Linked DNA regions of Arabidopsis thaliana. Each later gene encodes a partner of the first gene's protein in a complex. Each region holds a gene or a part of one and is shown in the gene's direction. Other genes may lie near its edges.

The links. Proteins that work in one complex are often made in the same cells at the same time.
Region 2: the proteins of AT4G00420 (region 1) and DRB4 are in contact, whole or in part, in a crystal structure (PDB 8IGD), measured with the Arabidopsis thaliana proteins. Residues at the interface, in NP_001118902.1 of Arabidopsis thaliana: Met102, Glu104, Arg107, Ile108, Thr109, Val110, Leu111, Glu112, Cys113, Phe114, Gly115, Asn116, Glu130, Ala131, Trp134, Tyr135, Asn138, Val139, Gly140; in NP_191839.2 of Arabidopsis thaliana: His314 (codon at 3,283), Leu315 (codon at 3,286), Ser316 (codon at 3,289), Ile317 (codon at 3,292), Pro318 (codon at 3,295), Thr319 (codon at 3,298), Gly320 (codon at 3,301), Gln321 (codon at 3,304), His322 (codon at 3,307), Val323 (codon at 3,310), Val324 (codon at 3,313), Cys325 (codon at 3,316), Arg326 (codon at 3,319), Pro327 (codon at 3,322), Asn329 (codon at 3,328), Phe342 (codon at 3,367), Arg343 (codon at 3,370), Asp344 (codon at 3,373), Phe347 (codon at 3,382), Ile348 (codon at 3,385), Ala349 (codon at 3,388).

What each region holds. Positions count from the first base shown.
Region 1 is NC_003075.7:180,736-186,467, reverse strand, and holds AT4G00420 (Double-stranded RNA-binding domain (DsRBD)-containing protein), read left to right. Parts: upstream 1-1,998; 5' UTR 1,999-2,218; exon of another isoform or gene 2,219-2,486; intron 2,487-3,088; 5' UTR 3,089-3,168; intron 3,169-3,772; 5' UTR 3,773-3,838; coding exon 3,839-3,892; intron 3,893-4,047; coding exon 4,048-4,225; intron 4,226-4,515; coding exon 4,516-4,627; intron 4,628-4,721; coding exon 4,722-4,950; 3' UTR 4,951-5,194; downstream 5,195-5,732. Other genes in the region: PIP1;4 (plasma membrane intrinsic protein 1;4), read left to right, coding at 1-135, 230-325.
Region 2 is NC_003074.8:23,225,026-23,229,159, reverse strand, and holds DRB4 (double-stranded-RNA-binding protein 4), read left to right. Parts: upstream 1-1,647; 5' UTR 1,648-1,713; intron 1,714-1,985; 5' UTR 1,986-1,996; coding exon 1,997-2,227; intron 2,228-2,316; coding exon 2,317-2,698; intron 2,699-2,956; coding exon 2,957-3,411; 3' UTR 3,412-3,634; downstream 3,635-4,134. Other genes in the region: AT3G62810 (complex 1 family protein / LVR family protein), read right to left, coding at 980-1,059, 1,157-1,397. UniProt on the Arabidopsis thaliana protein: Double-stranded RNA-binding protein involved in RNA-mediated post-transcriptional gene silencing (PTGS). Functions in the trans-acting small interfering RNAs (ta-siRNAs) biogenesis by binding and assisting DICER-LIKE 4 (DCL4). Required for DCL4 activity.

The sequences.
Region 1 (5,732 bases):
GCGCCGCTCCCAATCGGATTTGCAGTGTTCTTGGTACACTTGGCAACAATACCGATCACCGGGACCGGAATCAACCCAGCTAGAAGTCTTGGAGCCGCAATTATCTACAACAAGGACCACTCTTGGGATGACCATGTGAGTAAACAACTCTAATGAAAAGGACAACTCAAAACGTATTATGATGTTTTCTAATATATTTGAATTTGTAAAATTGTGGTGGTTGTTGCAGTGGATTTTCTGGGTTGGACCATTCATTGGAGCAGCTCTAGCAGCACTATATCACCAGATTGTCATCAGAGCGATTCCTTTCAAGAGCAAGAGTTAGAGACACACAGAAAGATTCCACGGTCCAGAATTTGTTCTTTAGTAGTTTCTTTGCTTATCTATCTAATGTAGCTTGTGTTTTGCAATGTAATGAGCCTTTCAAGAATATGTATTTGGGATTTCTAATCAGCTTTTGTCTATGTAAAAACTATGTGTTTCTTTTTTCTTCCTATACTCGTCTCAGATGCTTTATGGCAAAGGGTCTCTGAAGTCTAAGGTGATTAGTGCTCCGGTTATTGATGTTTTGAATAGTTTGTTCGACGAATATAAAATAAACATAGTCAACCCTCATTCTGTATCAACATCAAGTTCTCGGGTTGGTTTTGAGAGACATGATTATGAAGATGATCATGACTTCGTGAATGTGGGGGTTGAAGGATTGGCCTCTGTTTATGACAAGATGGTGAATGAAGAGCTTGACTATTGTGTACTTGCAAGAAAGTGTTGAAAACACAAGGGCCAATACATTGGAAACAGAATATGATGTGTTTCATACTAGAAGCTCAGTAGTCTTAAGCTTCCGGTTTTATTTGTACTAGCTAGAGATATTCTAGCTATGCAAGTTTCTTCTGTAGCTTCTGATTCTTGTTTTAGCACCAGTGGTCGGATCTTAGAGCCACAGAAAAGTTGCTTAACACATTATATGATTGAGGTCTTGTTGTGTACTGAACAATAGATGATTTAAATAATTTTTGTGATTTTTTTTTATTTTAGTTTCCTAAATTTTAGTAACAAAATCGATTTATAGATTTGATAATAAGTTTGTTAAAACATTTAATGCCAATGGCATTGGGTTGTAAATAAGTTCAAACTCCAGGATTTATTTCATAAAAGTGTTGCAAAAATATATAAGTAGATTCTGTACCGTTTGTAATATGGGTTAGTTTTTGATATTTTTTCTCCGTTATTATTTTGTTTGTTTTCGATATTATTTGTTTTTTTTTACAAATAATTTTGTTTTTTTTATTGCATCATTCTATTATAACCCGATTGACAATAAATAACCAAATTTTTCTTTATCGGTTAAAAAACTTTAAATGATTTATTATTTGTTTATATTTTAGATTGTGCATATATTTCTTTGATTCAGTATTATGTGTTTTAAAAAATTTGAATCATAATATATGCAGAAAAAACAAGAAATTTATTAACCATATATAATTTATAATAATTCAAATAATATAAGTACATAAAATCAAATAAAAGTGAAATGAGAATTATGTATTTATGTTTATTAGGTAGAGAGGTTTTAGAAAATTAGCCCAAACATTTTATATTAGCATTAAATCATCATATTTAATTTTTTATCTACAAAAATTGTAAAGAATATACCATATATAAAAAATTTAGATATAGTAATTATTTTTTATAAATTAAATTCGTTTTTGGGTTTTGTCATAATATAGGGAAATATTCGATTGACGATTTCTAAATCAAATTGTATAAAACCCTGACCCGAATAAAAAGAGGAAATATATATTTTAAAAATGTTAAGTAGATTTATTGCTAATAATTATTTTTACTTTCAAAAAAATATTTCAAAAGATAGTTCTTTAATTATAATTCCTTTTTAATTTTTTATTTATAAAGTTTATAACATTTTTAAAACATATTTACATTATGGTCGAAATTATGTAATAATTTAATATGTAAACTCATCAAATAATATTTTGTAATTAATACATAAATACAAATTTTTTTTTTTCCTTCAATATTTTTTCCTTCAATATTGCTCTGTTCATAATACTTTTTCTTTTTTAGTGAAATAACAAAACATTCAACCAATCTCTTGAGCTTCTTCTTCTTCTTTCGTTACTCTCTTCTTCTCAATCTTCTTTTCGATCTCATCATCACTCGATCTTCTTCTCCATTGGCGTTAGCTCAGTTCCTAAAGGTATTCATGTCTCTCTTTCCATTTCCGATTCTCGCTTGAAATAGAATTTCTGGGTTTAGTTCAAAATTGAAGCTTTTGTTCTCAATTTGAGATTTCGGAAGTGTGAAGAGGAAAATCAAAACTCGAAAACTCCAGCCTCTACTTAGATCGTTCTCCTTTCTGGGTCAATCTTCTATTCAGCTCTCTTTGATTTTATTGGTAAACTCCTCCTTAAGGATTTGCTTAGTTTATGAAGATTTATATGTTGTTTAAACGTCACTTGATTTTGGTAAGTTATAGCTTTATGTAGATCTCAAAAGTATCTGCTGTTTAACTAATAAATATTTGATGGTTTCTTATTTTGTGTTGTAAGATGCCATATGAGACAATGATTTGAATTGTGTGTTCTTATGGTTTTGCTTTTCCATAGTATAAGTGAGTGTGATGAATTAGCAAAATGTCTTGTGTGTGTGATTTGAATTGTCTTGTGTGGTTAGCAAAATGCTGTTTAACTACTAAATATTTGGGTCTGTCTTGTTGTTTAGGCAAAGAAGATATTTGTCTATTGTTGTTTAGGAACTGAAGTGTTGTTTCTGTAATCTAATCAAAGGGTTTTAGATAAGGAGAGGAAAGATATATGATAGTTAAGATAGTTAAGATAGTTAAGATAATCAAATTTCGTTTCTTTACCATAGTTAGATATTTCCATGTTTTCTAGGACCAATTCGAATACTTGTGGCCTACTGTTTTGCTCAAGTTAGTCATCTTTCATAGGGCTTTATTGTAGAAGCTGGGAAATATTTATGCTTTGTGATTGGAAGAAGGATATTTCAGTGTTTATACTAATTGGACGATCCTATGTGGTGTCTGAAAGCGGTTGCTGTTTTGCAGGCAAGCAAAAGATGTTGTGAAAGGCATTTAAAAAACGGATTGGTAGCAGGAATCCAAAAGCTCAGCTTCTTGCCATAACTGTGAGCTCCTAGATAACTGTCTCTCCTTTTTATTTTCCTTTTTGGTTACTTCATTGCAATAGCCACTGTTCTTTCTGTAACTGTGCATTTATATAGCCTGCTTAAACATGTTTATTTAAGATGGTTAAGCTGGAACTAGTATGAGTTTTGACCAAAGGGAAAGCAGATTATTTAGTTAAGTTTAAAGCTTTACTTGGTAAACTTCATACTGATTCTTTAGCTCTATAGAAAACAGAACAAATCTCTTGTGTTAAAAGTTCGGTCAAATTTGATTTCAGAAAAAGTCTCTGCGACAATCTCCTAGCTTTGTCAAATTATAAGTTTCTTAGCAAATGTTCAGGCAACTGAGACAATATTATTGAATTAAGAGTGATTATGCGTCGTGGTCCTGAAAGTTGTTGTTATTATTGAATTCTTTGTATGTATAGATTATGTCATGGGTCATATGTGGTTTTGATGGGTAACGTTTTTACTAATAATAGCACTATGCTTCTGGATTTTGATCTAGGTGATCATTAACTAGTCTATATATATGCAATGTCTTTGAAACACTTTTTGTTGTAGTTAAAGTCTGTCTGATTTGTGTTGGTTTCTTATTATAAAGGAATAAGGTAGCTGAAGCTAATTAATCCAATAAAGAAAAAAAAGAATTTTCTGCTTGAAATCAACGATGGATCTTCCTCCTCCAGAGTCTTCATCAAATCCCATATCTTCCTTCTCTGTGGTAAGAAATGCGGAATATAAATAGAAATATTAGTCTTTCCTTTTGGGCTTAGATCTTCTTAAATGAGAAGAAATAATCATTTTGTCATGTCTTTTTGTTAATTTTTGTTGGATTGGATCAGTTATTATTATTATTTTTTCTTTGTCTCTATTCAGGCTCAAAAGAGGATGTTGCTACAGAGATGCGAAAGTAAGTTTAAGATAAGGAAGCTGAACGATACTGTCGAAGAAGACAATGTCACGCAGATGGAGCCAAACTTTACACTTGAGAACACTCTTGTTTCCGAACCAGAAGCAGATTTGAGGCCTCACACAACTGAGCCCACTACTGAAGGTACTTACTCTTTTTCTCCCCACACTGTTTACTTAATTTTGGTGTTATCAGTTGTATTTAGCTAAGGTTTTGTTAATGTTATTGGTTATAAGGGTTTTAAAGATGAAAGCTATGGTTATGGAATAAGAATGTTAGTATTGTGTACCTGTGTTTGCTTTCTTGAAGAGCTTTTGGATTCCTTAAAAATCAAAAGCTTAAAACTTGTCAATTATGTCTCATTTTTTTGGGGTTAGTTTTCATTTATCGACAATTTGACATTTTGTTCTGTTGTTCACATGCATGTTGTTTAGAAGAAACTCAGAGATCTTCAGCCAAATCACAGTTGTATAATTTATGTAGTGTGAGGCATTGGAAAGCACCACTGTATGAGTATATCGCCGAGGGTCCTTGCCATATGAAAATGTAAGAGCACATAATTTCTGCACTCTTTTCACATTTTAAAGGTTAGAAATCTTTAGTGTCAGCATCATTCATGTTTTTCTTTTGTTTTGTTCAGATTTACAGGCAAAGTTACGGTTGAAATGAAGGAGGATTCTCGGATAACGGTTTTGGAGTGTTTTGGGAATCCACAGTACAAGAAGAAAATCGCAGCTGAGCAGGCAGCAGAAGCAGCACTTTGGTATCTTAAGAATGTGGGTTATACCCTTCAAACAGAGAAAGCTTCTGGTCGTAAAGGACGGAGTAAACCGATATCGAAGATGATGGTAACAGGTGAACCCGTGTAATGATCTTTGCCAGTTAGAATCTGTTAAGGTGATTACTTTTGTTTATGTTTATCGGCCTTAAGGATTAGCTTTTGATATAAGCTCTACCTAGGATGCTCAAAAGGTCACAAAATACTCATCTTTTATGAGACTATTTTCATGTGTACCTTTAACCTGCGTTATTTTTTGTCTATCTATGCAAATGTCTATTTTGATACTTTGACTATATCTCGCGTCAACTTTCCTTTGATATAACTATATACGCAAGTCGCAAACTTTTGTTGGTTTGACCTTAGCTATTGCCAACCTTCGTTTGGCTCATGCCATCTTCAATGAAAATTAGCATTTTGATAGGTTTCATAAGTTTGATATCTATTCTGAGTAAACAAAATTTGTAATGAGTCTGCCTTTATAACACATAAAAATCTACTACTAGTGCCTCGAAGCTGTCTTAACCTAAGCTGCCTTTATACCACATCGAAAATTTTCATCTTACCACATAGCTAAACAGTTGGGAATTTTTCATATGCTATGTGGTGCTTTGGTTACTCCGGTGATTCTAGCAAGGGCGATAAACATCATCATCTTATTTCTTCTGAGAAACTTTAAGTCTGAGATTCCGGTGCAAATAACAAGATTAAGGTTATGTAGATTATAGATCTCTTAGAGATTGTCTCACAGGCAGAATTTTAGTTGCCTTAAGACAAGAAACTGTAAAATAGAATCTTAAAGGCTAGCTTGGAGAGCACATTTTTAAGGAAAAGATGATCTTGTTGGTCACATAAAGAATGTTGTGTGATGAA
Region 2 (4,134 bases), on another chromosome or scaffold:
CATATCTCTTTTCGAATCCATTTTTTTAGTTACCTTTTTCTTTATTCACGACATGGCTACTTTCTTTAGGACGTGCGTGAGTTCTTATATACAACATAATCACGTAATGCGTGAGCATTTATGAATACAGCTAAAGAATTGAATCAAACTCACATGAATTGAGAGAACAAAGTATATGTGGTTATGACGATTCACATGATTCCTATGAAACAATGCTCTTCAACACAAGAATCTAAGGATTGCACACCAGCGAGAAGATGACTGAGACACTAATAAGAGAAAGCTAGAACTCTGAACTTAAAATCATGAATGGAGATGATAAAAAAGGACTTCTGAGCAAATGCTGTGGACACTCATGAATGGGGGTAAATCTTGACAGATTGTGTAGTGGTTTTCATTGGAAAATGAACCATACTTCTCGGACCCCGTATCAACAATATAGGTTCTATTTTATTGGTTTGAAAAACTAGAGTGACCATCACGGCTTCAATCTTCTCGCGTCAACTCTATTTCAAACTTCCCATCAGACTCTGTGAAACAATCGGGGACAAGGAAATCTAGATAGATGACGAAACCTAAGCTTATGTAGGAAATAATTATATTTCAATCTAACAATAAAAGTGACATGGATTTGAAAATGATACAAAAGATGGGTCTCTACGACAAGACAAGGCTTCTAAGATTTGAGAATGACACAAAAGATGGGTCTCTACGACAAGACAATGCTTCTAAGAAAAGTAGAAAAGTGAGGTCTACAGTCTAACATACAACATAATCAATATTAGCCATGGATGTAAGTGAATTCTGTAATTCTTGTTTTGAAATGGACGAATCTCATCCAAAAATGTATGTAAAGAGCTTCTTATTGATTCAACTTGGCCGTGAAAAGAGAAAACAAACAGAGAAGCATAAAAAGGATCCACCTTTCCCGATCAAACAAAACGAGTAAGGGAGAAGTAATCCAATTTCAGACTTACACTCATACAGATTTTTTCCGAAGCATCTCCTCTGATGGAAGCTCCAAAGTAGCTCCCGCGTGTTCCTGACTTGCTTTCATCTCTACGACACAGAAAAATCAAATTTCCAAAGATATGAGCTTTCACTCACGCATTTCAACAAACAGATGGTGCGCAAGATAAAAAGAGTCAGAACGAACCATATCCGCCGCGTTCGTTGAGTTTAGCCTGGACGATCATGGTGGAAATGAACTGCGTCGCTTCACGCGCCTCTTCTAGAAGGCGAGTGATGTCGGAGTTAGAAGCCACGAGGCGATTCTCTTCGAATTTCTTACGGATCTCGGACGCCGAAGCTTTTAGCATCTCGGTATCTCCGGCGAATGATTTCTTTGTTGCCCTGAGCAGTGCTCTGTACGCGATCAACGCTTCTCCGGTCACCATTTCTGCTCTTTCCCCTTTCAACCTCCGCCGTCGTCTCCCTCCCAAAATTGGATTTAGAAATTTGGTCGCCGACAACCTTCTGATCAACTTCGAGTTTCATTGGGCCTTTACAACTTTCATGAATAAGCCCAATTTTGGCCCATTAATGGATTATTTCGGATCATACCCGTTCAAGCTGGGTTAACCCGAATCTTTCGTATCCTTGAGACAATTTACATGTGTATACTTATTATGGTTTCTCGATGAGTTTCAATCAGCGAATGCTTTGTCTGATTGTTCACTTCCTCCCTCGAAGTGTCTTCACCATTTCAAAGAGGTACGATTTTGTGTTTATAATCGTAGATTCCTTTCGCTGTTTTGATGTTATCGATCTGTACGAAACCCTAGATCATTGAGTCTGACCAATTCTGAAATTCGTCTCTTCGTTTGCCATTTATGTTTGAGAAATTCTGATACATGTTGTCATGTTGATCTCTTTATGTTTGGTTGACCAATTCTGAAATCTGAAATTCGTCTCTTCGTTTGCCATTTATGTTTGAGAAATTCTGATACACGTTGATCTCTTTATGTTTGGTTAATTCCTGCCAGTTTAGATAGAGATGGATCATGTATACAAAGGTCAACTGCAAGCGTATGCCCTGCAACATAATCTGGAGCTACCAGTGTATGCGAATGAGAGAGAAGGGCCTCCTCATGCTCCTAGATTTAGATGTAATGTTACATTCTGTGGACAGACTTTCCAGAGCTCTGAATTCTTTCCGACACTAAAATCGGCTGAACATGCCGCTGCAAAAATTGCAGTTGCTTCTTTGACGCCACAAAGTCCAGAGGCTAGTTCCTCACACTCTTTTTGGACTACAAGTTATGTGCTTTTTCAACATTTGTTTAAATTTTGATTTTCAAATTTTTGTTGTTTCAGGGAATTGATGTTGCCTACAAGAACCTGTTACAAGAAATTGCACAGAAAGAGAGTTCTCTGTTACCATTTTATGCAACTGCTACATCTGGTCCATCGCATGCGCCTACTTTTACTTCAACTGTTGAGTTTGCTGGTAAAGTTTTCAGTGGAGAAGAGGCGAAAACCAAAAAGTTGGCTGAAATGAGCGCTGCTAAAGTTGCATTCATGAGTATCAAAAATGGGAACTCGAACCAGACCGGATCGCCTACTTTGCCTAGTGAGAGACAAGAAGATGTAAATTCAAATGTGAAGAGCAGTCCACAAGAGATCCATTCTCAACCTTCTTCCAAGGTGGTGATGACCCCTGATACCCCATCAAAGGGGATTAAAGTGAATGAAGATGGTTAGTTTTCTTTGAATACTACACTACATGAATAATCCGTTGGTTTGTTTGTTAAAGGAAAAACTCTCTTTCTTTGTTATAACTTGTGGTCCAATCAGAGGGACGTATTTTCCTGAGATAGGTAGGAAACAGCTATGAAATAAGAAAGCCAACCTTACTTTAACTGCATGAAATGGATTCCAATTTCAGTTTAATGCTAAATGGTCAAGATGGTTAATTCATTCAAAACTCATGCTCTACAGTCTTGATTCTGTGCAGAATTTCCAGATCTTCATGATGCACCAGCCAGTAATGCTAAGGAGATTAACGTTGCTTTGAATGAGCCTGAGAATCCTACAAACGATGGTACTCTTAGTGCACTAACTACTGATGGTATGAAGATGAACATTGCTTCTTCTTCTTTGCCTATACCTCACAATCCTACAAACGTTATTACTCTTAATGCACCAGCTGCCAATGGTATCAAGAGGAACATTGCTGCTTGTTCTTCGTGGATGCCTCAGAATCCCACAAACGATGGTAGTGAAACATCATCATGTGTAGTAGATGAGAGTGAGAAAAAGAAGCTCATAATGGGAACTGGCCACCTGAGTATACCAACTGGCCAACATGTAGTTTGTCGCCCATGGAACCCCGAGATAACTCTTCCTCAAGACGCGGAGATGCTCTTTAGAGATGATAAATTTATAGCCTATCGTCTTGTGAAGCCATAACGACATCATCATCTTTGATGCATAATAAGTGTAGAGATAGAATGTTAAGGTAAGCTATATCTCATCTGTTTGTAGAAATAGAATGCTTCTCGTCTCTGGTTTTCTTAAGCAATATGCTATGTAGTATGTATACTGTGTAATGACTAATTTTTGTTTTAAAGCATTGTGTTTATTAGAAACAAGGCGAGATTAAATGTTAATAGATTATGGAAAAGCTTAACAGAATAAATATTAAATAGTAAGATGTAGACATAAGCAAAACCAGCTAGATAAGTAACCGCTTCAAGTAGAATATTTGTAACGATAACCGAATATAATTAGAGACACTAGAGTAGAGGTAAGCAAAATATTTGGGAACAGCAATTCCATCACGATATTAGATATTCGAGACCGGTGCGGAGATGTGCTGATGATTTTCGGAAGACATTCAGGTTGTACATAGCTAAGTCCATATTGGTACCCACAAGTGCTGATTTTCCGAACAGATCCTGGTTGTGAACGAAGCAGGGTGTGCCAGCAGTGCCAAGGCACAGAGTCCTTATTTTCTCTCTTAAATTTTAGGGTCCTAATTTATAGGAATTTTTATTTTTCTAGATAAAATTACAATGGTTGAATAGAACTACAAGTGTATTACGTTTACAAGAGACAGTAAACACTGCCACGTAAACTAAAATTTTTTGGATTTAAAGGTTTAAAGGGGATATTTTTTTTTTTAGCACAGAA